Linked DNA regions of Daphnia pulex. The protein of the gene in region 2 interacts with the protein of the main gene of each other region in a biochemical or structural test. Links are inferred from orthologs where the notes say so. Each region holds a gene or a part of one and is shown on either strand. Other genes may lie near its edges. The genes, in order: ubiquitin-like modifier-activating enzyme 1, ubiquitin-conjugating enzyme E2 C-like and RING-box protein 2-like.

Region 1 (11,017 bases), on a different chromosome or scaffold from region 2:
TGACTCATGGATTTCTGGCAAACTGAATATAATCTTTGTCGCTCGCTGTCTAAAGCCTAAATATGAATAGCAATTCATGATTATATAGAAAGAAAAATATCAAAATATCAAAATAATTTACTCGAAAAAGTAAGACAGAAGGATCCATTTCATTACTATTAGCCGCAATAGTTGCGCGGACGGCTGCAATCGTTTGGCTTTTGCCATAAGCAGAATGCCGAGTACGTACATCAGTATGATCTTTCAAATAGCGCAACACGTCCATAGGTCCAATGTCATATTCTTCTTTCATATCTGAAATATTAAATATTAAATGCTTATGAAAATTATAAATTAAAGAAAACAGTGTTTTACCCAAAAGTGAGTAAGTCTTAGGCACATCAAGGTAAATGAGGCAATGAGCACTACTTTCTTGAGTAGCACCTCCAAATGATGTTTTTACTATAATATCCCAGGTTACTTGGCGAGTAAATTTGTCGTCGATATGGTACCAATGATTTTGCTGGCTATCCCAAACGTAGATCCAATAGTGACCGCCATCTGACTGTCCAGCATGGACCATCACCGCATGCAACTGATATGGGCGGCAGATATGCATTTTGCGACTGCGAATATGTTCTAATTGATAATTTAATTGCTGGGATTGGTGACGATGTTCATTCATCTTTGTTTGAATTTCAGTTTCCCATGTAAGATTTAAAGACCGCAAAAGGTCAAAATTAACAGAGGTTTCTCCTACCGTCTCTTGATAGTTTTCATATAATTTTTTAAGTTGTGGCACGTCCTGGTGTAGAATCGCTAGTGACCGTAATTGCTTTGTAAGTCCCTTTTTTGTGGAAGAAAGATTTTTAAGAACTCTATCGAGTTGTAATACTTGCTCAGAGTTTTCAGACAAAAAACGATCCATAAAAACTAGGGATGGGAATGTCATTTGATGATTGGATTTAATTAATTCTGTCGGATTGGTCCCGCTTACCAGCCGACACAAATCAATTAAAAATACTGGTGGAAGATTGCTAAAACATAGTTGCTTGGGATGTTCAAGTGGCAAACTGGAATGTAAAGTGTGAGCTGAATCAATCCTTAATGAACTGGAATGACTTTTGAGAGACTGTTCCAATAAATCCAACAGGGTAGCATCTTCATTTACTTGTAAAGTATATTGCATGAATTCTTGATGCTGGATGCTTGATGATTCCATTGAATTTGTTGGGATACATGATCCAATGAATAATTGTTCAATTACATGTGGGTTGATCTCTCTTATTCTGTTAAGTACCACTCCAAGAAATTCACAGGCATCTTGTTGACCCAGACCTTGCCCCAGTAATTTTCCAATGGAATTCACTGCTCTTGATGGATCAATCAGTTTTTCATCGGAGAATGTGATTGAGACAAAAAGTTCCTGAAGACCAACTAAAACATCCATTGACGGGATTGGCACAGTAGTCTGAGGAGGCACAAACTGTAAAATCAATTGTCGAAAGGCAGGAATGTGGTATAAAATTTGAACTGCAACATTGAACCAACAAGTGGAACCTAAATTTATGAGACCAACTGGTAGGTTTTCAGTATTGATTTTAGATGATGTAGGCACCGATGGTCGAGGAAAGTAACGAGAGACGTGAGGCCCAGACTCGCCAGACAAACTCGCCATGCCTTGCTTCGCCATATTGTCGATGATTCGTAACAAGAATGAATTTTTGCTGTCGTCCACTTCCATTGAACTAAATGTTTAGCGAATATTATACGATTTTAACACAACAAGTGAGCAGTCGACTCTTATCATCCCAGCCCCATTTTTTTTAAACCGGGAAATTTAAACAGTCGCGGGATACGCCATCTAGTTTCAAGAATCAAAGTCATAATTTAATGTTTTATTTTAACAAATTTTTGCCTACGAAACGACGATTGCAAACTTTGATTTTTGTTACGATAAAACGACAATACCGTAACATCATTAAGAAGATTTTTAATTGAATAAATATTGAATAAATCGAACTTTCAGCCATTGATTTATCTCAATTGATTTATCATCAATCGACCAAAGTCAAAGACTTGCTAAGTACGTTGATAATGCACTTGATAAAAAAAAAAACATTTTTATATAGGATTTAATTTTGACGGCATGTATTAACTTCATACCAATATTCAAGGCCAGTTGTACAATCGGTAAACGGGGAAGGGTTGAAAGGGAGGTTGTTGAAAAAGTTGCAGCCATGTAGAGTAAGGATTTTTGCCCTTTGTTAATCCAATCGGTAACATTTAATACTCACTGGCACGAAGAAAGAACTCTTGGAATTGATTATAAATGACCCAGGTCAACATAACTTCCATAGAGAATTCTATTTAGAATTAAAGAAAGCAACGAACTAAGCTAATAGTCCACAACATTGGATATAGCGCAAGTGAACTGATGATTATGGTAGTAAATAACCTTGAAATCAAATATGAACCAACCCCCAACCCGCCGCACAACGTAGAGTAATCAAATAGTTTTATTCGGTCGGGAGCACGTAACGGACGTAGGGCACTTCAACGTCTTCATCTTCAAGGTTATTACAGCATAACTCGAAGACGAGTGCTTTGACATGAGGCTCCAGTCTCTTCTTCGACACACGCTTGACAACCTCTGACATGGGGAGATCCATACGTTCGCTTCGTTTAGCTTGCGGCATAAAGAACGAATAAAGCATGCAAACACCCTGTGAAAGCATGGTGATTTTCAGCTTGTGTTCGCTTTCGAAGTAATCAATAAATTGCCGGAGCGTCTTTTCACCCTCCACTTCAAAACGATCCCACAAGGTCCATTCCTTGTCGTAATACTTTAATCAAATACAAACAAAAAATTTTTTAGTTAACGAATCGATTAAAATATTTTCCAACAATACCGTTTGCTTGGGAGCAGCGATTGGTTCAGAAAAGCCAAAGAACGGAAGAGCCAAGTTGATAAACCCGTTCTTAAATGCCTCAGGATTGGTATGACCCTGTACCAACTTCAAAAGTTCGATGCAGACCAAGCCTGAAACGACGGAGGTAGTAGTAGCAATGGCTGGAATAATCTTTCCAGCAATAAGTTTGCTCTTGTGGCGATCGGCCGGTGCGATATCATAATTCTCTGCCCGCAAGTTAGAAGAGGCTACGATGAAATCCATATGAAAGTTGGTGTCGTCATCCTTTTCAAATTCGAGGGGGAGAATGCGCAAGCCGGACAGAGAGTCCACAGATGGCAACTCCGTCTGCAGCTGGGTAAGTCTGTCTTCATCAAGCATGCCTGGGTTGTTGGCGGCAGCAGCAGCTTCCGCATCCGAAACAGCAATTCTGACTCCTGAACGTGGTACGAATTCCGGTACGACACACGATTCCACCATTTTAGTAATAGCCTATATTCGAGTCCGAGGGGATAAAAACAACTGTAAATCAAATTATGTTTTAACTAAAAAAAGTGAACTCACCTGTACATCGCGCGACTGTGGGATGTTGTAAATTTTAGCTTTTAGATTAGCAGCCGCAACCACATAATCCAAATGGACGGGGTTAGTGATATCGAATTCCAATGGATGAGGACAGCGTTTAGGTCCCGACCAAAACGGTTGACCTGTCAAAACAAAAAATTATATACAAAGTAAATTACACTTTATCAATAGATTTTACCAGAAGAAGTAAGTTGCTCGGGTGGAAAATTAAACAATAATTGCTTGATCTGATTGTGATATTGTTCCTGCCAATGGAGGCGAGCCCATTGAACACACTGCTCAAAATTCTTCGGACGTTCCTCAACTAAGCTGCGGTGGACGGCCTCGACTATCTCGAGTGGTTGAGATCCTGTTAGCTTTAGTGTTCTCTCCATGAATTTAGAATCAACTAAATATTGAGCAGCGCTCTCTGCTGATTGCCGGAACAACCCTTCGAACATATCCCGAGCCCATTGCAGTGTGTGTTCAATGGCATTAGGAAAATTCTTCAGCGTACAGATAGGAATTGATTTTTCCGGAGGATCCTATAAGTTTAAGAAGAAAGTTGATTAATTACAATAAACCAGAAAACTAGCATAAAAGAAAAAATAAATAATAAGCTATATTACTTGAGACGAACTATATGACTCCGTTAGATGGGGGATAACAACTTGAACGTTTCCTTTGGTACCCAGAGTTCCAGATTCGAGCAAGGGCTTGTGGTAATAGACGCAGCGCCTATCCATGTAGATACGGGCATCCACGTTGTCGAGGGCATTAGCAACGCCATCCAATTTCGAAAAAAAATCGTCATCAAAGAACTGCTCCGTTTCGGGACCGACGCGATTCTCGAAGGCTGTAACGTTGGCCTGAGGGTTCATCACCTTCACGGCAGCGGCCGCCGAACTGGATTTGGGTTTCTGTACGTCATGCGACCGGAAAAGAAACTGCCTGTTCAGATTGGACTTTTCAATCAAGTCCATGTCTGTTACGAAGACTTGGCCCCCTTCACCAGCACCAACTCCAATCATGGCAAAATTTTTGAGAAGCTAACAAATAGAATATATTTTTTAATTAATAAAATCTACAGAAAATTTATTACAAAAACTTTGATAATTACCTCACAACCGATAGCTCCAGCTCCCACAATGAAGTAACGTAGGGATCCAAGCTTTTTCTGGAATTCATTGCCAAACACTGCCACCTGAAAATGTAAAAAAATAAAATGCATAACTGATGAAAAACAAAAATAAATATTTCAATACCTGTCCATCATATCTGGATCCAGTAAGCTTACAGTTTTCTTCGGTCAACGAATCTTGGTTATCTGGCAGACACTCGGTGGCATCGAAGTATAGCCATTGAACAATGGGAGAAAACTTTTCGCTACACGCCTTCATAACTTCTTGAGCGACAACCCCGCCGAGAGTGGCGTTTAAGGGGTTCAAATCTCCTTGACATACATGGGAGAAGGTGGCCAGTAACTTTTCGTCAACTTCTTCAACTTTAGATGAGCCACTTAGACCGCTGTTTAACTCTTTAGCTAAATCCACAAACTGTTGACTGTCTTTACGGCTCCAAGGAGTTGGCAATCGTCCCTCCTTCTTGACGTAGGCGTCCAATGTCCTGAATGCTAGATGGATTTGGGGAGGCCGATCAAATTTGCCGAAATCTGTCATCACGAATTCTGGTTCTTCGAGAGCGTCAGCCAACGGTTTGAAGTGGATTTGCTTAGGCATTTTCACTTGGGTAACCACTCCTCCACGTACATAGTCGCTGAAAGCGCTCGTGTCACCAATGCTAAAGGTGTATGGTCCAAGTACTTTGATCTTCTTGGGTTCGCAACCATTCAGCTCAACCATGCCCTGTACCTCAGAGAAGGTAACACAGTCGCCATCTTCCAATCCGTGCCGGGTCTCATCCAAGCAAGTAACAACACTTGCTTCTTCTTTAGACACTCCAGCAATCATAGCAGAAACGGGATTTTCTCCAGTAGTATCGATGATGGTGAAATCTTCCCCAAAGTCACAGAAGACTTGGGCAAACAGACCTTGTGTTTTAGAGACGATGAGAGCATTGCCGAAGCTACGAACGATCTCAGAAACCCGAAGTTGCTCTTCAAGACTTGAATTAGTTAAAACTACAACTCGGTATTTCTTCAAGAATTCTTTGTTCAACTCTCCTGTATAAGTTTCTACTGGGACATACTGGTTGAGTTCGGCCAGGCTCTTGTGAGAAACTTCAGCTCTGTTCTTTCCCAGATCTGCTTCCGATACATAAAACTGGGAAGAAAGGTCAGAGGCTTTGCAAATTGAGTTGTCATGAAGGGTGACGGACTTCACACCTCCCAAGATGATATTCTTAGCAATTTCCACTCCAAGGCCTCCAAGACCGGAAATCAGGACATCAGAAGTTGCCATCCTCTGCATAGCTTCATGGCCCAATACGTAAAGTTGTCTGGAATAAAGACCCTCATCGATGGTGTGGATGTTGCCATTTCCTGCCATTTTCGGTTGCTGCTGAACTTCTTTTAAATGGTGATTGCTACCGTTACTGCTGTTCCCGTTATTTTCTTCCAACTTCCTTTTCTTTGCAGCAGGACTGGGAGACGAGGGTGACGGATCCACCTCAGCAGTGGACATCTAAAAATTAAACTCAATACCTTGGGCAACACGAGCGTCACAATGGGTGCTAACAAACCAGTTTTCTTACTTTAATATAAAAAAAATTACGGTAAGTTTCAAACTCCGAACGATTGGAATACTCACTTAGACTATTCCAACGAAGGGAGAATTATGAACAATTACGACAAAATGCCGGCGAATTTGCACACCAGGATTGGAACGAAAGATAGCCAAACTGAAAGAATGACGAGCAAGAGAGCAACAGAAAGTCAGTCAGTAATTACCAGTACTTTCTATGAACTCGAAAGTGCTGCGTGCTGCCACCTTTCTCCCACCGATGACTCGACGTAGATATGGGGAAATGGCGGGTATCAGCTGATGCAAGTAAGTCCTTGTACCGGCAATTCCCTATTCCTACTAAAATCCAAAGTAAAAATGTCTGTAATCAACGAGTAAGGTGGCGCAATAGTCGACTTTTTTATTAGCCGATTATTAAATAGAGTGATGATGATGACAAAGAAAGTACGCGTAATAATAGTTACATTTCCCGCCGACAATTTGATCGCTGAATTAAAGAGCATCTGGCAACTTGAGCGTTATAGCTTACAGTTTTACACGTGCTTGGATTGAAAATTCGGCTGCTTAAAAATACTGTAAAATCTGCATTTTTTAAAATAAAATATAACAATAGGATCTAATCAGGTATAATTGAATATTATTAAAATAGCTTACTAAAATAAAAACTCAAACCAAAATTTTCTTGAAGATTCATTAAGCCTCCACGAAGATTTGACAAATATGAAGAAACTCTCAACCAAAAAAACGAAGACTGCTTCTTCTTCAAGAAAAAGCAACACAAACGATAGTTCTGACTCAACAAATATGGCAGAGAAAAAATTGTCATTTGTCAGTCATTTGCTTTCAGCCAAAAGTGTCTATGATTCCTTAAAAAATGGACAGACCAAACCAACTTCGAAAAGATCAAAACTTAAAAAAAAAACTTCACGAAAGAACAAAACATCATCCAAATTAAATGTAGACAACAGTTCAACCATTAATCAAAGTGTGTCGGTGACTGGCATTGGTGCCTTAAAACTTAAATTAAAGGAGAGCAACATTTCTGATGAAGATAATTCATTCCAATCCTCTCCCAATGAGGATGATTCTTTTTTAACAGCAGAAAAAGAAGGTATTGAAGAAACCTTTGCTATGGATGAGGAATCAAGTTCTTTGCAAGCAGTCTACCAAACTCTGGATACATTTGATTTCCTTCTAATTAATCCCAATGAAGTTCTAGCATTCATCCCATTTCAGACATGTTTTTACTTCAAAGGACGTCTTAGTTTGACATGTCTTAGTGGGATTGCCGAGATGCAAGGCTTTTCTATTGAGCAGAATTTAAGTAAAACATACCATGTTTTTTCTCCTAGAGGATACAGTCTGCAGTGCATCCGTTCAGTCGGAAAAAGCAATACGTCTTTTAATGCAAGCCGCGCTCACGCTCTCTTGAAGTCTGCTGGGTTGACGTGTGAAGAAAATCTTTTGAAGAAAAAGAGCTCTGAAAATGTCTTGCTTATTTTGCGTTCCCTTAACTTTGGAATGATTGATTACATCAGCCGTATTTTCCCCATCAACATCCTCAAGAAAGAAGAGTGCGTTCCTCCAGAATCTAATTATTGGAGAGATGAAAATCGCAACCTATTTGGCAAACTTTGTAACCAACTTGACACGAGTATTGTTCTACGCGGAAGCATTTTCAGCGCCAGATTCTATTTACAACCAGATGTCTGGGCAGAGTATGCACAACAATTAATGGATAAATATCAAAAAAAGGAAACTGTTAGAGTAATGTTGCTCGGTGGAAAAGGAGTGGGGAAATCAACTCTACTTCGTTACTTGCTTAATCAACTCATCCAAAAGTGTGGAACCGTTTTGGTGGTGGACTTTGATCCTGGCCAGCCAGAGTTTTTTCCTGCGGGATGCGTAACAGCATCTTTAGTCTCTGAACCGTTGCTTGGTCCAAATTTTACCCACATTCAACAGCCACTTTTCTCATACTTTGTCGGGGATGCAGATATTATCGGTTGTCCGGAACGCTATGTTCGGTCATGCCGGCAACTTCTTATCGACTGCAAGCTTAAATTTGCCTTGGAAAACGTTCCAACACTAATCAATACCATGGGATTCACTAGCGGTATTGGTCTGGATGTAACTTTAGACTTGATTCGTCTTACCCAGCCACACCAACTTCTTCAAATTAGCAGCCGCTCACTTCGTCGCAATTTCCCTTCAATGCTCGAACGTGATTATGTTGCTCAACACCAACGCGGCTGGCTAACCGATGCTGCTGAGTGGTCAGAAAAATTACCCAATTACGAGCTACAAGCAATCTATTCATCGGCGGAACTATCGGAGAAAAGTTTAGAAGAATGGGGTTTTCGTGCATCGGAATTGCGGCAAATTGGACTAATGTCCTATTTCAGCCAACTATCTAACAGCGCTCATTGGTCGTTAATGGATTCTGTACCCTACTGCATTTCATGGTAATAATGATTTCCCAATCAATATTATTGTATTCAAGAATAATTGTGTCAATTAAAATTTCTATTTCAAGGCAAGATTTGGCCGTTTGCATCTGCCATGAATCTGTTCCACCTGCTTTGACAATGGCCGCTCTCAACGCTTCGCTTGTTGCTCTTTGCATTTTGGACAACGATGCCGCTGCTTCTGTTCCATATTACCAGGCTGCTGACGGAAAATACCCCAAAATTTTGCGAGAGTTACCTTTGATGCCTTGTCTGGGCTACGGTATTATTAGAGGAATCGACCTTACAAGAGGCCGTGTCTACTTGATCAGCCCAGAACCAGCGGAGCGACTTGCACATGTCAATTGTTTAGTGATGGGAGGAGTACGAGTTCCAGAAAGTCTACTACTCGATGCACCTTTATCGGTCAACCAAGATGAAGAATGTGTCACGAAACTACGAGTCCCATACGGGACTTTTGGTCCTTCTGTTGCTCAGCCAGCATGTCGACCCTACCGCAAGTACAATCCCGTCTTTACTTTGCGCAATGTTGTGTAATATGTGTGATGGTTAAGTAAAACTAGAAGTTGTGTGGCGATGAAAATAATTTTTTTTTTATTTGATTTGATCATAAGTTAGAAATAACAGCCACTTTTATTTATATAGAAGTGCTATTCGCGCTATTATTAGAATGAATTGATTTTCAACCCAAGAATAACAGGGTCAGCACATGAAAATGAACTTATAAATATTAATGTAGATTCACGGTCAGCAGCCGCAAGAAGAAGTTTCCTTTCTAGCAATTACACCGTTGCTTTCTTCGATTGTTCGTTTACTAAGCTTTAGGGACGGCCCAAAAATGTCGGTCGTTTGGAAGCGGTTATACTTCATCATTATTTCGATCAGGAACCTAATTTTGAATGTAGGGCAGTAATTGAGAGCAGTTTGTAATAGACATTACTCTTTCGACTCACCGCATGCAGTCACCAACCATCAGGTCATCTTTTGCTGATGTTTCTGTCCAACCAATGAAGCTGTGCTCCCGACAAAGAGTTTCAATCTCCCTAATTTGGATCTTCTAAATTATTAATTATTATTTGCATTAGAACGGATTCTCACCATTGATCCACCTCCCTTTGCCGCAAATCACACTGTAAAATAGATGCGTTTAGTTAAATATCTGCTTAAATTGGACTGCACCAGAAACAACTTACTTTGTTGGCTAATAACATACACGGAACCTGGTAGTAAAACAGACATTTAATTTAATTTTAAAAATACGGTGGTCATGTAGTTATTGTTTATTATGTCAGTTAAATTTATTTATTAAAATAAATTTAACATAGACAACCAAATAGAAAAGGTAATACACAAAAAGCAGGAAAGGTAAAATAGAAAAAAACAAAAATAGCAAAACAGTAACATACCGGCGCACCATCTTCCAAGACACATTTAGAGTCGACATCTTTTTTCCACTTTACTGCGTTTTCAAATGAGTTTCGACTTGTCAAATCGAACATAATGATACAGCCTTGAGCTTCTGAAAGTGAAGGTTTTTAATACAACACAATTTATAGACTTACAAATAAACGAAACCTTTGTAATATACACGTGTCATCCATGTAAATCTTTCCTGGCCTGTGAAACAAATGTTTGTTGAATTTATTGTTGAATTAAAGAAAAGGGAATAATATTACCTGCAATATCCCAAAGTTGCAACTTGATGGTCTGGTTTTCTGACCATCTGACAATTTTCAAAGCAAAATCTACGCCTATCGTAGCTTTATAATCCCCGCGAAAGGCATTTTGAACATACCGGCGAATAAATGAAGTTTTCCCCACTCCGGGGTCGCCGATTATAATCACTTTGAACAATTTCTCAGTCGCTCTGTTATATTCTAATTTTTTAAAGTTCATAATTAGTGAAATGTAGAAATCTTTATAATTTTAGAGGTTAGAGCGTCGAACTCGAATCAAATTCATTGCGTGGGAAAATCTGCAGGTCACCATGGAAACTGTAGCTACAGACGATGTTTACTTTAGTCGGCACGTGAAAACTGAAAACCGATTTGTAACTATAATTTAAGGACTTCTTAAAAACATATCTTCTAATCGGTATTACATGGATCTACGTGAACTATTCCTCAGTTGTCGATCCGGAAATTTGAAAAAAATTAAGTATACTTTCGATGGATACTTCTAAAACGGTATCAAGCCAGCTTCAACAAATACTTGTTACAGGTACCTAGTAGAACAGAAGGAAGTTGATCTAAATGTTCGAGACAGATGGGATAGCACGCCGCTGTAAGTTGAATTATTTCAAATCCACTTAAATAATCTAAGGTAATCCCTTTAATTTGAAAACAAGGTACTATGCATGTTTATGTGGTCATGTTGAGCTAGCAGAATATCT
Region 2 (9,543 bases):
AACTCATCCCCCTTATTGTGCAACTCGGAGGCACAGGACTTCTCATAGAGTATGAAGACATGTTTCCCTATGAAGGAGATTTAAAATCGATTTCGGCTTCTAATCACTATACTAGAGCAGAAGTAAGAACTAAGCAATAATTTGTATTTCTTTTATTTTGTCGCTTAATCAATACTTGCTGTCATTTTAGATTCGATCGTTGTTGAATGTAGCCGAAGCGTACAAATTAGAAGTGATACCACTCGTACAGACCTTTGGGCACTTGGAGTATGCCCTCAAGTTGCCTCAGTTTTCTCATTTGAGAGAAAATCCCGCTGTACCGCAGGCGGTGTGTCCATCACAAAATGAATCTTTTGTATTAATTCAGAATCTCGTCGATCAAGTACGTGAGCATTTGGCTCCTTTCCTAAATTTATTATTCACCCTCTTCTTTTTTTGTGTGCATTCTCTTGGAACAGATTATGTCAATGCACGAAGGAATCAAGTATCTGCATATCGGATGTGATGAAGTGTTTCACATGGCCGAGTGCGCAATCTGTTCCCTAAAGCCTAAAGATGATCTTTTCCTATCTCACGTTCACCGAGTGGCCTCCTACGTCAACAACAAGTATAAAGTCAAACCCATCATTTGGGACGATATGTTGAGACACATGACCGCTGCGACACTGGATGATGCCAAATTAGGAGATATAGTAGAACCTATGGTTTGGGTAATTGCAGAGAATAATTTGGTTAACTCATTGCAGAGAATAATTTGTAAATTCATTCAGGTCTACGCGGAAGATGTCTATCGATTTGCAGGGTCGTATGTTTTTGATCGATACGCCCAAGTTTTCCCATCGTTTTGGATATCCAGCTCATTCAAAGGCGCATTCGGAGAAACTCTGATAGTCCCCGACATTTCTCGACATTTGGAGAACAATCTCAATTGGTTAGACGTTGGACGGACGGAGAGTCCAAAGTTCCGGCAAGGACTCCGAGGCATAGCCATAACTGGATGGCAGCGTTACGACCACTTCAGTAATCTATGCGAATTATTACCGGCATCCATCCCTTCTTTAGCGGTCAACTTGTTGACTACATCCAGAGGTGATTCCATTTTATTTTTGCATCTGTTAATTGCGAATTTCAACAGCTTCTTTTTCGGTCCCATAGGATATTACAATCAATCACTGGCGCCATCACTTTATAAAGCCTTATCTTGCCAAAAGGCTCCGCGATATGAAAAGATTCCTGATCTGCGGATAAGTCGATCTGATCGTTTTCTGCACGAAAAGATGACCATGTGTTTCTTTCCAGGTGCACCTTTCTTCAAAAGCACGGCCCGAATCCTCCGGCTCGAAAAAGAGGTAAGTCCTCCCTACGATTCAGAACTGAAAGAACCTTTTAAAATAACATTCGAATTTAATTCTAGATTGAAGAATATGTCATATTGACTACCAAACGTAAGGGTTGGCTGACGGATTACAGCGTCCGGCACAACTACAGTAGCCCAGCTCGTATTGATGAGCTTTTGCGCGACTTGCCTTACCTGTCGGGCAGTCTCAACGCAGTAGCTAAGCAGACAATGGACATACTGAAGAACATCTTTGACGTTCACACGATATCCGAGTGGATGGAACAAAAACTTTTGCCCCTTTTCGAGAAATTGGATCGTATCCAAATGGACGCAGCTACATTGCGCTCCCAAAAATACTGGCCTGTTCGCCCACTCAAATTATTTGATCGATGGCAGCAGTACGGCCTCCATTTTAACCATTTTTTCAACGTGAATGAAACGCAGTCCAGCACTCACCACTAAACACTCACGAATATTCGAAATAATAATCTGCAATACCGTACACTTTTTATTTTATTTAGCGAGGTCTTATCCCAAAGGACAGATGCCTCGTGTTCAACTTTTGACAAAAATCATGGCATATACAAACATCTAAAGTTTTTCTGACTATGCTGTTATGTTCTGTTGCACGGAAAGGCTCTTCTCGCTGTGCACATCATTTATTTCCATTCCCCGCTGTTTCCCATGATATTTTCTGGCCCATTTTCTGGTTAGAATTTTTTTACATATTAGTCGACTGTTTAATGCACTGTTCATGATCGTTTATAATTTTGGTCGCTGACGGGTAGCACTCGGAACAAATTGATATTCCCCAATTTTTTTGTTTGTTTTCGTACCTAATTAAACGGTTAATGGTGGTCACAGAAAAAGATAAAATTTAATACATCAGCTAAACTCGATGATCAGGTCTTACAATTTGTATTCAGTCAGTTTTTACTATAGAGCCATTAATGCAAATAAGGGACTCTATTGAGCTGAGAGGGAAATATCCAAAACTTGCTTTCCACTTCTGAGGTGCATTTTGGGGAGGGGGAAAATAATGGGCTAAGAAAGGTTAGTCAAAAGGATTCGGAGGCATTGTCTTAACCAAAACGTAGGTAACGAACTTGAATTTTTGTTGTTATTTTAGCATTATTGGTACAACACAAGGTTTTTAGCAGAACTTCCATCGATTGCCGCAAGCGTTGCAGAGAACGAAAGTCGTCATCGGCTCATCAGCGCTTCGTGTTTGGACCTGAGAAAAATGAAAAAGTACACGAGTTGTAATTTTTACGTTACATTTTCAAAAACCAAAGGTTATCATACCTGATTGTAAGTGCAGTTGCGTTTTCCGCACTTTCCGCACTTGAGGAGATCGGTTTGTGTACCCTGAACTGTGGCCAGCTGAGCATCGTTGATGCTTTCTTTAGTAAACTTTTGGCGAATATTCTTCATTTCATCAGAAGCCATTTCCTAAAATAAGTTTAGATTATGAATACAATTTAATTTGAGTACACATTCGTCTCTAATAAAACGTAATCATCCTCAGTTACTACTCACTTCAGAAGTCATATTCGAAAGACGAGCAGGGCTAACTTGACCACAGAGAAAATTGAGGCGCAAATTGGGGTTTCGGGCGTCCTTCAGATTAGAAACTCGACTTCTAACTCGGTTCTTGTATTTCATGTCTGTATTTCTACACTCTTTGTAAATGCATTCCTCCAGCATTTGGGCCAGGTACTCAGGATCGCCTCCACCTATTTTGTAACAGTTGATGAATAAGTCAAAGTTATAAATTTAAGTGTGTGTACCATCTACAGCAACACCATCTCCTTTAATTGCAGCACACAACATCTCCCGGCATTTAAGCCTAACTGAGTCTGTGGTTGTTGATGGTAGGGCAGGAAATGAAGATTGGACACTGCTAGAGGAACCTTTTTTGTCTTTGGATGATTCTTTCGAAGGAGTCTCTTTTGGTGGTTCTTTGGTTTTTTCAGATACTTTCCCCTCCTCTTTTGTGCCTTCTTTTGGGTTAGCTGATCCTGAGTCAAAATTTCCAAACCAGGAAAGTAACGACAGTTTGGGAGTATAACAAAAAATTTAATAGTTACCAGGTAGGAGCTTCTTCCATTTCTTGATTAACGCTTTGGTGAGATTGTTGACTTCATCATTTTCACTTTTCTTGCGGATAGCATTGACAGTCATACCAATTCTAGTGCTAGTTAAAACAGCCAAATTAATTGGTAGATCTTTCAAAGCTTTCAAGTAATCCAACGCTTCATCTTGGCCCTGTAACGTCAAGTTAATATCGTACAACTTGAACCACAACGTGACGTATTAGATGAGCAAAATATGTTACCAGCTCTTCTTTCACAATCTTATCCAACTTCTTCTGAATACGTAGCACATCTTTTTCGCAATCCATAATGAATTAACGATTTCAAACGGTTGTGAAGATGAAAATTTTATCGTGATTTACGCGCGAAACGTGAGGACTTGTAGCCGCGTTGTTCTACAGCAATGGCAATAACACAACAGCTAAACAGCAGACGATCTTTCGATTTATTTTACGCGTCGTTATTTCCCATTTCTGTAGCACGGAAATTTAGACGTGGGACTTTTACGTTAGCTACTACTAAAAGTATAAGATTGCGTTCAGAAAATCTGCTAATTAACGAAATAAACGTTCATAAATCTGTATTGAATTTGTTTGAACGTCCAAAATTGTTTCATCGCGAGTAGTTCATAAATGCTTCAAATTGATTGTAATATTACCAAAATTTCTTAAAGTGTACGCTGGAGTGGACTGCAGGCGTTAAATTTCTACTAGATGTGTTGACACACATTCGAAAGAAAATGCGTAGCGAGTCTAGCGGTTGCCTTGAAAATTTTATTTTTAAAAATTACGTTTTTTAAATTTTCAACGTTAATAATTCGCATACCCTTGGTACGGCACACTTAAACTATGTTTGGTAAGCTCGGAAATTCAAGCTGAGGCTAAAATTCATTTAAGAATTAGGCTATCGAAAAACGTTCATTCAATAAAAATTGCATATTTAAAACTATTTTAGCTGGCCTTCAAGCTTGAGAACACATACAAGTGATACAACATTAACTTTGCCTTATAACGTCGTAACTATAAATATTTAAATTATGTTAAATTCTATACCAACATTGCTGAGCTCAAGCTAAACTTTGAATTGTACAATGTCTAAAATTCTAATTTGACGGTGATCAGTCGTACAATATTCCACGTTACCACGTATGTTTGAAATTTACGCACAAATATTCTAAATTAAATAAAAATAGCTGTAGTTTAGGTGATCAGAAATGAAACAAAAGTCCTCAATCCTCATCCAATTCCCGCACAATGAAACTCAACATCAAAATCTGGAATGCAAAATTTTGCTTCTATTTTTCTTTTTTTAGAACAGGCACCATTACAGCACAATTAAAAGACTTGAAATTAGGAAACCAAGAATTTCTGTAAACATTGGAAGAGTGACATTGTATTATAGCTATGGAACGATGATGATGGTATAAAACCTCAGATTGGGTTCAGGATTTGATGTCTTGAAATTTCTCAAGCAGTAATTTCTTGTAGGCAACTTGATCAGACCATAGTTGAGCTGCTTGGCCATTCAGAGGGCTGTCATTGTTGGGATCTCCAAGCAGGCTTTGAATGGACAGAAGGATTGTCCTGACATCGTAGAGAGCAGACCATTTGTCCTTGAGTATGTCCAGGCAGATGTTACCATATGTGTCCACATTAGGATGGAAGCAAGGAGTGACAAACTTGACTGTTGGGGCAGTAAAAGGGTAGCCATTTGGAAAGGTGAGGCTTAGTTTATATATTAAACCATCATAAACCTAAAACACAAAGACATTAAGGTAAGTTACAAACTACAAAAGATGGTCTGAAGACTTACCGTTCCCTTTGGGCCAATGATTGTGCCAATCCATGAAAAAAATTCGTCACCGTTTGGGAAAGCAGAGATTCCTTTATCACCAGACATCATGAGTGTAAGAAGCTCTTGCTGCAATCTGCAAAAATGTACAAAGTTATTATAACATTAACTACTGAAGCCATTTTTTTCTGTTTGGTATGTTTCTCACCGTTTGCTGGTCGACTGGTGTTTCGTGGCCGACGCAGGCCCGTCCCCATCTTTCATCGCCGTACTATTGTTGGACCCGTTGACTGGATCAATATTTTGAGCCATATTGTAATATCAATAAAATTGTCGATACAGTATTATTAAGCAGCTAGGATAAAACTAATTGAGAAACTGAGAAAGAAGGAAGCTGGGCCAGGGGCAAGAGCAGCAGAAGGGGGACGTCGTTCGACCTTAAGCTTTTTTACAACTGACTTCGTGAGAGGGAGGTGTGTGCCAAAAAAAAATTTCAAACGGAAAGCTATTGCCAGATCTGAAATTTAAGTTTTATGAGATGATTTGGAAACCATTTACATTCATTTAAGATTATAATAATTTTTAAATACACAATAAATATTTCAAATCCATAATTTTTCTTTTTTTTTAATTCGATTTACTTTACTTGCAGGGTTGTTCTACTTACGGCGCCCTCTATTATTGATTGGCTTGTTGCCTAGCAACCAAGAAAGATTCAAAACACTCGTTTTTTCATTTTCTGAAAAATTATCCGATACATTTCTGGAAAATGTTTTAAACATACTGATTCTTAAAAATGCAAATACGTCGAGCAAAGACTCTTCTACCTTATCAAGTGAGTGAGATTTAAAAATAAAACCTTTATATTATTTTATAAATTCGTTGAATGAGGAAATGATTCTTCTAAAAAGGATGGCGCCGCCAAAACGTGTGGTATGTGTTGGTCGGTCAATGGCCAGAAATTAGCTGTGGCAACCGCAGAAAGAGTCGTGTTTCTTTTTGACGCCAATGGAGAGAAGAGAGACAAATTTTCGACTAAACCATCCGATTCCAAAGTTAGTAATAATATGAGAAATTGACTTGTTTAAATTGGTCAATCTGTACTCTCTTTTGTCCCTCGTTCAGTACGGCAAGAAAAGTTACAGCATCAAAGGAATAGCTTTTTCTCCCGACTCTACCAAAATCGCCATAGGACAGACGGATCAAATTGTCTTTGTCTACAAAATCGGCGATGATTGGTATTGAAATGCGGTTTTTAAATTTCGCGGCAAAATTGATATTCATTCACGCCGTTTTGGGGTTGCTGATGGCAGGGGGGATAAAAAAGTTATCTGTAATAAATTTGCTCAGGCGAGCTCTGTTACCTGCTTAATTTGGCCTAGCCAAGGGCCAATTATTCTCGGGTTGACTGACGGAAAAGTACGCGCTGCCCACATCAAAACCAACAAATCCCAGACACTCTACGCCACAGAGTCCTTTGTCGAAACACTAGTCTCCAAGTAGGGAATCTATATTTTTTAAGTTTTAATTAACTGCAAATCTAAAATTGTTTAGTTTACTATAGTCAATCGGGAACCGGTTTTATCTCTGGACACGCTGACGGAACGATTGTTCGATTTTATGTGGCAGATGATGGCACTGCTCTTCCTCAGGTACTACCCAGATTATTCGTGATAATATTAATTATAAAAATCACCGTCTCGTGTACACACAGGGAAAAGTTGTGGTTCATGGAGTGGCTCCCACTGCTCTTGTTTGGGCTGGCCCGTTAATTTTAGCATCTGGATCGGACCAGAAGCTGATTTGTTACTCGGCCGAAGGAAGGCCACTTCAACAGTTTGATTACAGTCGAGTCAAGGACGAACACGAAATTACTGTGGCCGTGTCAAGCGGATGCGGTCAGATGGTCGCTCTAGGAAGTTTCGATAAGTATGCATTCACGATATAATAAAAATATAAGAGTTCGAGAAATCAATTCAATCAAATCGGATCCTGTTTCAAAAGGATTCGCATCCTGTCGTTCAATTCGAGGAAGAGACAATGGGAAGAAAGCGCAATCAAGGAGATCAAAAACATGTACACGGTGACGTGTTTGGCATGGCGAACCGATTCGCTTTATCTGGTCTCCTCTTCTCTTTGCGGCGGAGTGGAACTCTTGGAAACCGTCGCCAAGTATTCATAATCCATTTTTCATTTTCAATCTGTTACTATTGTGTTTAATAATTTATCTACACACGCAGGAGAACTTTGTGGAATGGTCGAGTGGAGATCATTTACATTTCATCTAGTCAAGTAGTCATCAAATCCGTACCGGAAGAAGGTGTTCCTTTTTTCCATCCGGTAGTCATCCGCACGCATCCCGGCCTGGAAATCGAAACGGTATCAACAAGATTTTAATTCGAAAACGTTACGCATTATCATCATAACGTACATACTATTTCAGGTTAGAATCATGGGCAGAGAAAATTACGCCGTGGCTCGTACCGATCGGACGCTTATCGTCGCCGACTTGAAACGTGGACTCGTTAGCGAAGTGTCGTGGAAGGAACCGGAAGTCGTTCAGGTTTACGGAATTAAAATTAAGAAAAATTCCGGAAATTCCTTTGACATTCTCTTTTTTTCCCCCTCCCGATTGCAGGATGGAAATAAAACGAAATTCCATTTTGACACTCCGCACGCCTGCATGGTTTTCTCTCGGGGTGAACTCACGCTGATAGAATACGGTGTCAATGCCATTTTGGAACGTTTGAGGTTTCTCTCATTTCCAATGATTTTGTCAATAATTATTATTTACAATTGAAATTTCTTAGGATGGAATTTATGAATCCGCATCTGATCAGCGTCCGCATAAACGAGCGCCACCGTAAAGAGGGGGATAACGTGAAACGATTGGCTTATCTACTGGACTTGAAAACTATTGGCATCAGTAATTCCTGCCTCACACAAAAAACTTCTTTTTATCAATGAAATGTTAATTACATTTTTGAAGGTGATTTGGTGACCGGCCATTCGTTGGGTCACATCTCGCACGAATCGAAAATCGATTGGCTTGAAATGAACGAGACGGGCCGAAAGTTGCTGTTCCGCGATCAGAAATTGCGGCTCTACATGGTCGATCTGGCCACCTCGACTAAAACGCTTTTGCTCAGTTCGTGTCTCTTTGTGGAGTGGGTGACGGGCAGTGACGTCATCGTCGCCCAAAGTCCATCCTTGCTCCACGTTTGGTATCACGCCGAGAGCAGCGACAAGGTCCAGACCATCGACATCCGCGGCGAAGTACTGGACATTGTCAAAGAGGCGGGCGGAAGGACAGTTGTCCGCGTCCAGGACGGAACCATCATCAACGAAATCGCCCTGGACGATCAGCTGATTGAATTTGGGACGGCCATCGAGGACGGCGATCTGGTCCGGGCTCTGTCCTACCTGGAACGACTCGATTCCCATTCGCCCGGCTCTGCCAAAGGACTCTGGGCCACTTTGGCTCGCATCAGCCTCGACGCCGTCGAATTGCGCATCGCCAGCCGCTGCTTCGCCGCTCTCGGAGACATCGCCAAAGTTCGTTTTCTGATGGAAACGGTGCGAGCCTCTGAGGAAGTCGCTAAAACAATCAGTATTTAATTAATTAAGTTTTAAAAATTCACATTTCTAAATTCGTTTGAGTTGATTTAACTGATTCTATTCCAGAGGGCGATGGATTCAGCTCGCCACTGGTTCAAGCCCGAATGGCCATTTTCCAGCGAGATTTAGCCACAGCTGAGCGCATTTACATCGATCAAGGCAGTCCGGATGACGCTGTGCGGATGTACCGCCAATTACTCCAATGGGAGGACGCCCTTCGAGTAGCGGAGACTTATAATCTTTCAGACAGACATCAAATCAGGTGAAATGTAAAAGAAAAATGTTATTTGTATTACAGTTTTTCATTTAAAATTTTGACATTTAGGCAAGACTACCTGCAATGGCTGCAAACAACTTGTCAGGAATCGGCAGCTGCCGAAGTCTATGAGCGATTGGGAGACTACCCATCGGCCGTCAACATGTGCCTCAAAGCCGGCCTTCCTTCCAAGGCGGCCAAGTAAAAAATCATAATTCGGGTTATAAGAGGAACGATCAACTTAATCCAATAGCTCCTTTATTGATTATAACAGACTGATGCTGCACAGAGAGGAGCTCTTATCCGACGCGGAGGCGGTTCATCAAGTGGTGACGGCTTTGCAGCGTTGCAACATGTACGTCCAGGTGGGCGAGGTTTACCAGGCGACCGGCAAAGCGGACAGAGCCCTGGAATTCTACCGCAAAGGTCATTCCTACGCCAAA
Region 3 (10,283 bases), on a different chromosome or scaffold from region 2:
TCAAAGGGAGTTCCTTCCTGTCAGTGGCTGAACCAAAATTGAACCGAATATGCACTTGTGATTATAAGTCAGCTGAGCGAGCGCCGAGCGGGCTAGCAGACGACATAAACAATATCTCAGCATACAATTCTGAGAGCTCCTTTGCTGTGGTTTTCAATTTTTTACTGGCCCAAAATTCTGTGTTCATAATTCATATAGCTAAAAGTAAGCTTATTTTACCCATTCTTATCTTTTGATTATGTACCTGCATTCTATTGTGTATAGTTGTCAATCATATCCAATCAAACCTTAATGCAACTATTGCTTTCACTTCAATATGTCAGTCAATGTTAAAAATCATGTTAAATGTTTTTGTTTATTTTTTTACAGGTTTTTTTATTCTACTGCAGAAAATGGCAGATGATATTGATATGGAGAAATCAGTGGAAAAAACCACAGTTGGTAATGACTGTGTAGTCAAAACTGAAAAGATGTTCTCATTGAAACGGTGGAATGCAGTTGCTATGTGGAGCTGGGACGTTGAGTGTGAAATTTGTGCCATTTGCAGAGTTCAAGTTATGGGTAAGTCCCAATTTCAATATGTTTGTTAAGAAGGGTTAGAGACAAGAACTATTTTAAAGGAAAATGTTTAAAATTTATTTGTGGTTCTGGTATATTTACATTTCACAAAATATTCAGAAATTATCTGGTTTTCACATTTTCAACTAAATACTAAAGGGGTGGGGTGTCGGCAAGGTTGTAGTTATGGGGGTTGATGAGAAGTTTACCATTTTACAATGTTCTGTACCCTGCCTGATGTAGTAATGTACATAAATATTTTGGAAGATAAAACAATTAGAAAAGATTCGTAGTCTGCTGGGTATTAGGAGAAACAGTCGTATTTATAAATAACGAATCCTAATTGTTCTATTCCTAATTATAAGGCTATCTTTAAACTTTCCTGGGAAGAAATAAGGTAGAACAGAACAGATCATTCAGAGATTTGAGGAATTGAAGACATCATTTGATTAAAGAAAGGAATAGTCTTATGTACAAAAACATTGTCCGCACTGTTAAGACGTCCAACGTTGAAAAATAATTGGTCGCCTTTACAGCCTAGTAGATTCGATATCTTTTTTCGGTTTCTTTTCAAGCATACTTTTCTCGATACTCTCCAAACTGTGTCCCTTGGTCTCTGGTACGAAGAAGATAACGAAAAAGATGCTGATAAAGCAGAAGAAACCAAAAAACCAGAACGCTCCATGGGCGCCGATCGTCGCTATCAGGTCGTTGAAGAATTTAGTTACTGCGAAGCTGCAAGCCCAGTTGAAAGCTGTAGCTACAGATGCAGCGTGACCACGAACCTTGCTTGGGAAAATTTCTCCCATCTAAATTAGCCAAATAGAAATTTTGTTAGGATTGAATTTTTTTCAAACAGCCATCACATTTTAATAACGTACCATAAGCCAAGGGATAGGTCCATAACCGATGGAAAAGGCGACGATGTAGACTATGAATGTAGTCAGTGGAAGCCAACCGACGTGTTCGAGATCATGTTCAAGGTGTTGCAGAATGAAGAAGACTCCCAATGCGCCGAGGCTGATTGCCATAAAGAATCCGGATATGTTGAGTAAAACTTTACGGCCTACTCGGTCGATGACCATATTTGAGCCCAGTGTAGCCATAAAGTTAGCCAACCCAATAATGATGGAAGAGAGGTTGCTATCTACACTTCCGCCAGATTTTTCAAAAATAGACACGGTGTAAAAGATGACCGCGTTGATGCCAGAAAGTTGCTGAAAGAACATGAGTCCGAGTGAAATGAGTAGGGGCCGTAGGTAGGCAATTTTCAAAAGTTCTCTGGCTCCACCACCGACGCTCTGATTCTTGTAATTGTTTTCAATTTCGAGAAACTCGTCTTGAACGTTAGTTTTGCCCCCACGGAGCCACTGTAGAGATTCGCGAGCTTCGGTATAACGGCCTTTAGAGATGTACCAACGTGGTGTTTCCGGAATGAACCACATGAAAGCTAAAAAGGGTAGAGGAAGAGCTGCTCCGATGGCCGCCAATACTTTCCAGTCGATGTAGGAGCCCAGAATGTAGCAAAACAAGATGCCTATGTTGCCTATCGTGGTGGGCAACAGGCCCAGCGATCCTCTGACCTCCGGTTGAATAGTTTCACCCAAGTAGATGGGCAGCGTCAAGGTAGTAAGGCCCACGCAAAATCCCTGGATTGAACGTCCGGCGTAGACCATGGGCAGGTTTGTAGCAAACGTGATGAGTAACCAAGCTAGATGAAGAAAGCAAATATTAATATTTTGAATTCAATGACACTGTTGCGTTACTTACACAAAATGTATGGTGGCCCGGTAGCCATGATGGTCGTCTTCCGGCCAAAATGCTCGACAATACTTCCACCGACAATGCCACCGATTAGAGCGTTAAGCGGCATTAAGCTCCCGATCCATGACGCCTAAGAATTGAATGATTTCCAGTTAGTTTTTGTTTGGTATTAGGGATTTTAGTCTAGTTACTAACCTCTTGGTCGTTTACGGGAATAGAACTGTTGGGTTGTGTCATAGAAGCTAGGGCAGGAGAAGTATAGCCAGATGAGTACCCCTCGATCAAAGCTGCTATGGCCAGGGCCAGCGAAGCCAACACTTGAGGGAAAAGCCTTCCACGACTTTTGCGACTTGCGGGTTCCATTTTAAATGAAGGATCTGGGAACGTAATGATCTGTGAGACATTGGACAGCCTATCGTTGTCTTTATTTTCGTCGGGATTTTCCATTGCCATATTGTCTTCTTCTTTCGAGTCAGCTGGCATGATTGGATTCAGAGCAATCAACGATTCGCTGACGACCATTGAAGTGGAAGGTATAGCTAACGGGTCTTTTGAATCGGAATTGTTGAGTCGAGCTTGAGCCAACGTTTCAGCCAGCTGTTGGTAAACTACGGAAGTTTGATCGACAGTGGCTTCGCAGCTGGAACAGGAATAGGATCCAGTGGAATTGTCATCTTTAATCCACCGGTAACTTGAGGGTGAATCGGTGCCCGTGGAACTCAAGTCGCACCCACTGTCTCTGTTTCTAGTTTCACGCTTTTCGGCGGCCAGCATGATGGCGTGAATTTTACTGCTGTCTGATTCCATTTGGCAGTTTTGTCTATCTTCGGCAACAGCTTCGATATCGCACCAAATTGAAGGTTGCTGACCTAGTACCGTAGACATCTTTGGGGAGTTTTCTTTCACCTCCTAATCCACGTACGCTCTTGGACTCTCTGCAAGGTCGAAAAGTAAAGAAATAGGGTCAGCGATTAGAAACTGGGTTTCTCCAAAATCGCAAGAGAATCGGGTTTTTCCAGTTAAAACACATTTAATAATATGAGATTAATTAAAAAGTCATTTTAAACAATCACGCCTCCTTTTAAACGAATTAGTAACTAATTGTTAAAGCGCTTGGAATTTCAATCTTGCAACTTGTTAGACAATAGAATGGATTCGAGATTTAAAAATCTTAACACAGATGGTTTGGTTGTTTTAAGACAATCGAACGTCTTCACAAACATTTTACATAAATCGGAGTGTTATTTGACTTGGATTCCGCCGCTCGAGTAAACACAAAGTTACAAATAACAAAAAAAAAAAACAGAGTTTCAAAACACTAACTAAAATTAAACTTACAAATGCCTGGAGAAATAGAGGACGCCTTGAAGAGCTGTGTTGACGCAGGATTCGAGTGGATGTGTGTGATGAGCTAGTGGGGTCCGCATGTCTTTTTATACTTCTCAGCACGGCCTACCCTGCGCCGCTCGGTTTCTTCAAGTTTGTTTCATCCCTCCTTCTTTTTCATCTTCTATCGCGAGAAGTACGCTCAGCCTAACCACACGTCACATCGCCAACCCCCAAAATGTTTTTGACGAATCCTCTTTTTTCCGGTTTTTATTCCTACTGGGATCTTCGGCCTTTTTTTTTTAATCGATTTATTTTGGTTTTAAAATTAAATTAGGATTACGTCATAGTTTTCCACAGAAGGATCGCTATCCCCCAGACCCCCACTACTCCTGATTTCTATTCTGGTCGAAATCGCAATTTAAAATCAGACTCAAAAATAATTTTTCACACTCCATGAGTAGGTCAATATTGACTTTAACATAGTGAAAGTGAATTTTTAAGTTTAAGTGATGGTCTTTTGAGAGGGAGAAATTGAAAGGTTAATAACGTTCTCGGCCTAGTTTGAACCGGTCGAAAGCAGTTTGAGCAGGATTTTCTCCCCTTAATATATCAGGGGGTGGATAGGTTCTTATACAGGTAAGAAAGTTAAAAACCATAAATAGGTCTTTTGGGAGATTGTGGGCTTTCCAGCGTCGAAGTATATCGGAACCCCCTGTAGGCCTAAATGAGCCAACAAGATTTCATTAGTAACAAAATAAAAAAACCCACTCTGAATTTGCCAATAACTTCAACGTTATAAAAAGAGAAAACTGGCTCCACCTGCCGTAAATAATCGATAACACGACGTTGAACTTGACAAACTGACTTTCAATTGCTTTTGAGTATACTCTGTCTGGCTCTTGGGTTGATACCCTCCACATCTTTAGATAAGATTTTACATAGGGTGGTGTTTATCCCTTGGTATATTTCTTGTTGCCCCTTTTCCCCTTTTTGGCTTTCTTAAATATACAGGTCATAGGCATAAAAACATGGAGGGATGTTTATCGTCTTTCCACGGAGATGTGCTCCGTACCAGTTCTTTGCCTGGTACGGTGAAGGACGTGGTGGATTTCTCCCTTTTTAGTTGGAAATACGGTATCCCTCCCCCCAGAGTACCAGCCAAGATGACGCCCAAATAACCCAAGATCAAACCCCCTATTCCATAACCCGATTAACCTAAAGAAGAACAGGAATGAAGAGGAAGACAAAAATTCTTTTTTTCTTGGTTTTCTACATCTTTTTGGAACAATCGCCTTCGAGCGAGTTGTCGTTGTAACCTAACGGTATAAGAGAATATTTTTCGAGCTTCATATGAAAGACATAGTGGTGATGAAATGATATTGAGTAGTAACCATACAAAGCAGCGTGAACTTTGGTTCAAAGTCCAATGTTTAAGTGTTTTCCGGATCGAGTAACGCTAGAAGATGATGATAAATTAACAGAAAAATCGAGTAAAATGTTACAAGTTTAAATTTTAAAAGAGAAAGTCAACATTGAATTTCTTTTTTCCCTATTATGGAATTGTTTGGATAACAGGAAATTGAAGTCTAAAATGTTGTCCTAGTCCTTCGTTGGAAAAAGGATAGTCGAAGGTCGAAAGAGTGCAGTGAACGAGCCGCTCACGACCTCTCCCAACAAAGTGACGACATCGATAGCTCCGATAACCTTTTCTATTTTAAATTCTCAAAGCTGTTAGTTTTTTAAAAACTTTTCCAACCCCATTTACAACAAAGCGAGGAAAAGATAAAAATAATTTCTTTAATTTGTACTCAATTCAGATGCATGCCTACGTTGCCAGGCCGAAAATAGAAACGACAAGGAACAGGAGGAGTGTGTAGTCATCTGGGGCGAATGCAACCATTCATTTCACAACTGCTGCATGAAATTATGGGTAACATAATTGTTTATAATGTATTGTGCAAAATGAGTTAAACGTGATTTCTCGCCCTTTAATTCAGGTCAAGCAAAATAACCGCTGTCCTCTCTGTCAACAAGAGTGGTCCGTCCAACGAATTGGCAAATGAAGATCTTGATATTCGTGATTATAAAGTCACAAACACAATTCCAATCTTTTTTTTCATAATTGCTACTCATTAATACACGCAGTGTCGTCAATTTGTCTTTTTTTCACACGTGTATTTTTCCTTTTTTTTTTTAATGAAAGATTTTTCGGACTACTTGGGATGTTATTTTGTGTTATTTTCATTGATTGATCATCATGGGTTGTTAAAACAATCTATTCTGTTATTTTAATGCTTATTTTTAGGCTTCTGCGCTGTTAACGATTGAGGAACCAAGTCATCAATGCAGCTAAAGCTAGAGTCAAATGAGACAGAACTGCGCCTGCCACAGCGCTGTTGCAACGCATGCCGGAGTGGCTGAACGTGAATTTGACTTGATCCGGCGTATGGCAGTCTTTATCTGAATAAAAGGTAAAACAAATAACGTAATCATAGAAATCCTAAAGCATTTTTAAGTTAAAAATTTTAATTTGTACCTGCGCAGGGCAAATCGTCGTTAATGTTGGTGGGAGCAGCCGAAATGTAGATGTTTGAACACTGATCCGGTACCATTTTACCACACGGCTGCATGAATTTAAACTCGACGGTTTCACCGGCTTTCAATGCGGTCTTGCAGAGATCTCCGTTTCCTGGACGTTCCTTAGTGGTCGAAACGCAGAACCTTGCCATGCCGTACGTGCTCTTGAACTGTTAAATAGGGGCGGAACGCGTTACAAGTCAACACATTTAAGTACGTACTTGTTATCTCATTTGAAACTAAACAAGGAAAGGTAACTGACCCACAAGCGCAGTTCGTTGCTGCTGTAAAAACTTTCTGGGCCCAGACGGAAGTATTGGGTGGTGTAAGTGTTGAGGAGTCCTGTGTACATATATTTGGCCTCAGTGGAGTTGGAGCTAGAACTAATGTCTTTGCACTCGGGATATGTCAGACGAGCACCGACTGTTGAATGTCAACAATGAAAACATAAAGAAATTTGAAATCAATTGATGGCAAATTTTATCTTTCTGCATACCTGTAGCTAAGCGCTTGGCGATTTCGGGGGCAGCTTCGTGATACTTAGTGAACTGGGTCATGCGGATAATGTCGCGATCGAAATTGGCTACAAATGGACGAAGTTCTTCGGGATTGCCCAAAGTGGCGAACATGATGTGAACATCTAAAAATAATTGTCGTTTTACTTTTAACTTTTTTCTGACTTTTTTTCCAACATTCGAGATAATGACCTGGCATTTCGCCGAGCATTTTCAACAAAACAGATTTGATTTTGTCTTTCTCGTTTGAGATGCTGGTGGTCACGAAAAATAGGATGGCGCGAGTGTTGGTGCCACCAATTTTGTTGGCCTTTTCTGAAGACCTTTCGGCCAAAATACGAGTGCGAGTTCGATCCAAAGTGTCAGCTACACGACGTTCACTGGTTCCTGCAATTTTGGTGAGTGTTATGCGTACAATTTATGAAATTGAAATTAAATCCATGTCAAATTTGTATACCAATAGGGAGGCTGATGAATTTGCAAGCTAATTCGGCTCGATTGCGAGTAGCGTTGAGATCCAGGAAAGGAGTTCCGTCTTTACTTGACACAGCTTCCATTCGGCTGCCGCCCAGTTGGACATCCAACGCCAAAGCTAAAGCTCTGTATAACGTTTTAAATTACATGTTTTAGTATTATGATTGTAATTATTTGTTTCAAAGACATTCAGACTTACGCAGCGAGATCTTTCTGGCTGTAAAGGCTTTTGGCATCCGCGATTTGATCGAATACGAAGGTAAGATCAGTGTAAGTGGCTGGTGTAGCTTCGGCCGTCGATAGGGCGTAAGGTCCTTTGCACTGGGTGAAATCTACGATGTTTGAGTTGCCTGCAAAGAAAAAAAAAAAGTTTAAAATCCCGAAAATTATCCGTGAAACCAACAAAAATTATTTACTTAGGTATTGGTCCAAAAAAGAATTAATTTCGTTCATGGTTGTGTTGACATATTGGCCGATTTGATCCGCAGGTTTAACTCCGGGAAGAACAGTCGGAGCGCCGTCAATGCCGCGTGAGTACAGGACCAAAGCAGCGTTAAGAGACTACAATTAATTTGATCAATTAAATTAAAGTTGAATTTTTTTTTTAACTGCAGAGCATTCAGCGCACCTGTTCTTTGAGCATGGCCTGATCTACAATATCTGAGTCTCTGTAATTGTAGAGGCGGTTGCAAGCGCGGAACTTTGAGTCACCATGGATACCAGTCTCAGAATAGTACATTTCCAGGACGGCCGAAAGTTTCAAATAGCTGCTCGAATCCCAGGTAGCCATACGTTGAGCCATCAGCAAACCTAATGCCAATATTAACAAATGTTACATTCGTTTTGTCTAGGTTCAAGATTTTTCTGATTCTCACCATCAACACCACCATAAAATTCGGCGTTGGTCAACATGGAATGTTCTCTGGTTTCCAGCTTGTACTCACGCGGGCACAGTGTGCAATTCCACTGTCCTCGTGGTCCGAAACTTGGAAGGTTCTTGGGTGTTCTCAGAAGAGAAGTTTGTGCAATATCACCTAAACATGACGACGTTTTGGATTGTGGAACAGTAAAAGATTTTGTATGGATTGAACGAAAAAATACCTGCGAGCGTAGCCACCCAAATACTCTGAACAACCCTCTCCAGTGAGCTTGGCGAAAGTTCCATTTGCGGATCTTTGATGAGCTCTTTCAACTACAACAAAAGTAAAGGAAGATTTTTATGTTAATGAATCGTTTGATGCAATTGAATGGAGATTACCGGAGCGCTTTGAGGTTCACTTCCGGCAGCGATACCAGTCAGGACCGGGCCAGCTGCTACTGTGCCATACTTGGTGTGAACGATACCGACTTCCATTGGCTGAGCGGCCAAGGTTTCAGTTTGGCGACGCTTACGCTTCCAGCCGTCTGATTCACTTTCGCTATTGTCATCAACTGGGCCGTAGTCTTCACCCCCAGTCTCTACGGTATCTTCTCCAAAGATATTTTCCGTGTCTTCGGGTAAATCTTCTGGTACATCTTCTGTCAGTTCCACATCTGGCTCCTCTACTGGCTCATCTACTGGCTCATCTACTGGCTCATCTACTGGCTCATCTACTGGCTCATCTACTGGCTCATCTACTGGCTCATCTACCGGCTCATCTACCGGCTCATCAACTGGCACCTCTTCCTCATGTTCAACACCTTCGTGATCGTGCTCCGGTTCCACGAGATCCCTATTATAAATTGAATACGTCCTCAGTCTAGGTAGAGTGTCCGTCGTCAACAATTTCAATACTTACTCATCAGGTTGATTCTCATTCTCTACGACATCTTCTTCCACGTGATGAGAATGGTCAGGTTCAGAATCGGCGGCTGGCTGCTGGGGGTTGGCGAAGGACCGAGAAACAGGTGGTGCGGTTTTTTCTGCACTCGCCGTGTGGTTAACCGTGTAAGATAGCATCCAGTGCAGTGAACACTTTAATCAACGTTCACACAAAAAAAGAAATAGAAAAAGGATTATAATTCTAGGTTTGTAGCGTAATACGGCACTTGGTCTTCGCAATCGACTAGTAAAAGAATAATTATCTTTACAGGTGGGGCTGAACAAACACCTACACGAAAATGCATGGCTGTGAGGTCAAATCTTTGTCATAGTCTTTACACACGCACAGCACAGACAGTAGATAAGTTTAGAACAAGCATTATCTCTCCTTTTCTTTTTTTCTTTTTCCTTTTTTTTTCTTTTTTCTTTTTGGATTTTATTTTATAAAAATGAGTCGCCTACATTTTTGTGCCTCAAAATCTACGGGATAATATTTATTTTTTGTTTGTTGAAATTTTGTTTACCTTTTCTTCCATGGTCAATGAGGATTCCGGGAAGTCGGAAGCTGTTCCAGGTACTAGCTTCCATTGGAGGCGGTATTTGTCACTTTCAGCGCGTTCGTTGACGACCGGAACAACGTCGGGTCCAGCACCATCAGGAATGTCAATGATTCCATCGTAACGAAATCTTTACGTATTAAATATTTTTTTAAATTTTCAGATTTAAGAAAAAAGGTCTATCTGTTTTAAAGTTGGCGTTAAAGGATGAGACGGTACCTGTGGATTAGTGTGCTGGCCATCTTTCCAATCGGCCATAGAGCGGTGTCGGGATGAGCTTCGACTTTTCGGATGAGGGCTACCAAGTTCTCTATGGATGCGGGCATCCGGCGGAATTGGTCGCTGATGGTTTTGTTTACGTAACATAACGCCAAGTTGTCGGGAATGCGGTTTGGCCATGGATCGGCTGCCCAAGCCGTTGCCGCAAATATCGCTATTCGTGATTGGTAGTAAGTAAAAAGAAAAGAGAAAGAAAGATTTTTTTAAGTCAAATTTTCAGTTATTTTCACGTCGTTCATTTTTAAGACGCCGGCCGGCACTTGGAACGAGCGATTGCCACATCTCATATCTTATTTTTTCTGTAGCTTTCAGCACGAGATAAGCCGCCCTTGGAATAGTTTGTGAGCACTCAGAGAATTTCTCTTTTCGATCGACATTTTTAATTTTTTTAGTCTGTAATTTACTTACTGATGACGAGTAGAATTTTCA

What was found.
Region 1: of the proteins of ubiquitin-conjugating enzyme E2 C-like (region 2) and ubiquitin-like modifier-activating enzyme 1, one has a biochemical effect on the other in vitro, tested with the Homo sapiens proteins (5 studies listed by BioGRID, with this or other methods). The link is inferred for Daphnia pulex from reciprocal best matches to the Homo sapiens genes UBE2C and UBA1.
Region 3: the proteins of ubiquitin-conjugating enzyme E2 C-like (region 2) and RING-box protein 2-like form a complex in vitro, tested with the Homo sapiens proteins (4 studies listed by BioGRID). The link is inferred for Daphnia pulex from reciprocal best matches to the Homo sapiens genes UBE2C and RNF7.

Annotation. Positions count from the first base shown.
Region 1 is NC_060018.1:5,970,313-5,981,329, forward strand, and holds ubiquitin-like modifier-activating enzyme 1, read right to left. Parts: upstream 6,518-11,017; 5' UTR 6,370-6,517; exon of another isoform or gene 6,224-6,369; intron 6,118-6,223; 5' UTR 6,098-6,117; coding exon 4,721-6,097; intron 4,660-4,720; coding exon 4,576-4,659; intron 4,505-4,575; coding exon 4,085-4,504; intron 4,001-4,084; coding exon 3,655-4,000; intron 3,599-3,654; coding exon 3,456-3,598; intron 3,384-3,455; coding exon 2,892-3,383; intron 2,826-2,891; coding exon 2,499-2,825; 3' UTR 2,114-2,498; downstream 1-2,113. Other genes in the region: uncharacterized protein LOC124207205, read right to left, coding at 1-56, 122-294, 355-1,723; polynucleotide 5'-hydroxyl-kinase nol9-like, read left to right, coding at 6,878-8,622, 8,694-9,162; ras-related protein Rab-7L1-like, read right to left, coding at 9,373-9,514, 9,579-9,668, 9,724-9,755, 9,819-9,845, 10,032-10,144, 10,201-10,242, 10,302-10,502; ankyrin repeat and BTB/POZ domain-containing protein 1-like, read left to right, coding at 10,727-10,782, 10,846-10,908, 10,973-11,017. UniProt on the Homo sapiens protein: Catalyzes the first step in ubiquitin conjugation to mark cellular proteins for degradation through the ubiquitin-proteasome system.
Region 2 is NC_060021.1:2,195,999-2,205,541, reverse strand, and holds ubiquitin-conjugating enzyme E2 C-like, read right to left. Parts: upstream 5,686-9,543; 5' UTR 5,539-5,685; coding exon 5,435-5,538; intron 5,363-5,434; coding exon 5,248-5,362; intron 5,189-5,247; coding exon 4,877-5,188; 3' UTR 4,710-4,876; downstream 1-4,709. Other genes in the region: hexosaminidase D-like, read left to right, coding at 1-122, 191-382, 459-710, 771-1,089, 1,156-1,349, 1,415-1,801; transcription elongation factor S-II-like, read right to left, coding at 2,493-2,573, 2,645-2,791, 2,879-3,075, 3,130-3,366, 3,430-3,607, 3,678-3,743; intraflagellar transport protein 172 homolog, read left to right, coding at 6,023-6,061, 6,138-6,281, 6,352-6,464, 6,540-6,725, 6,791-6,878, 6,941-7,155, 7,231-7,398, 7,467-7,605 and 7 more. UniProt on the Homo sapiens protein: Accepts ubiquitin from the E1 complex and catalyzes its covalent attachment to other proteins. In vitro catalyzes 'Lys-11'- and 'Lys-48'-linked polyubiquitination.
Region 3 is NC_060024.1:9,931,378-9,941,660, reverse strand, and holds RING-box protein 2-like, read left to right. Parts: upstream 1-91; 5' UTR 92-204; intron 205-369; 5' UTR 370-392; coding exon 393-561; exon of another isoform or gene 562-1,088; coding exon of another isoform or gene 1,089-1,367; intron 1,368-1,439; coding exon of another isoform or gene 1,440-2,269; intron 2,270-2,328; coding exon of another isoform or gene 2,329-2,452; intron 2,453-2,517; coding exon of another isoform or gene 2,518-3,207; exon of another isoform or gene 3,208-3,257; intron 3,258-3,660; exon of another isoform or gene 3,661-3,817; intron 3,818-5,468; coding exon 5,469-5,581; intron 5,582-5,648; coding exon 5,649-5,714; 3' UTR 5,715-5,805; downstream 5,806-10,283. Other genes in the region: facilitated trehalose transporter Tret1-2 homolog, read right to left, coding at 1,089-1,367, 1,440-2,269, 2,329-2,452, 2,518-3,207; uncharacterized protein LOC124200065, read right to left, coding at 5,969-6,111, 6,188-6,398, 6,491-6,651, 6,725-6,868, 6,936-7,130, 7,201-7,343, 7,417-7,567, 7,634-7,778 and 8 more. UniProt on the Homo sapiens protein: Catalytic component of multiple cullin-5-RING E3 ubiquitin-protein ligase complexes (ECS complexes), which mediate the ubiquitination and subsequent proteasomal degradation of target proteins.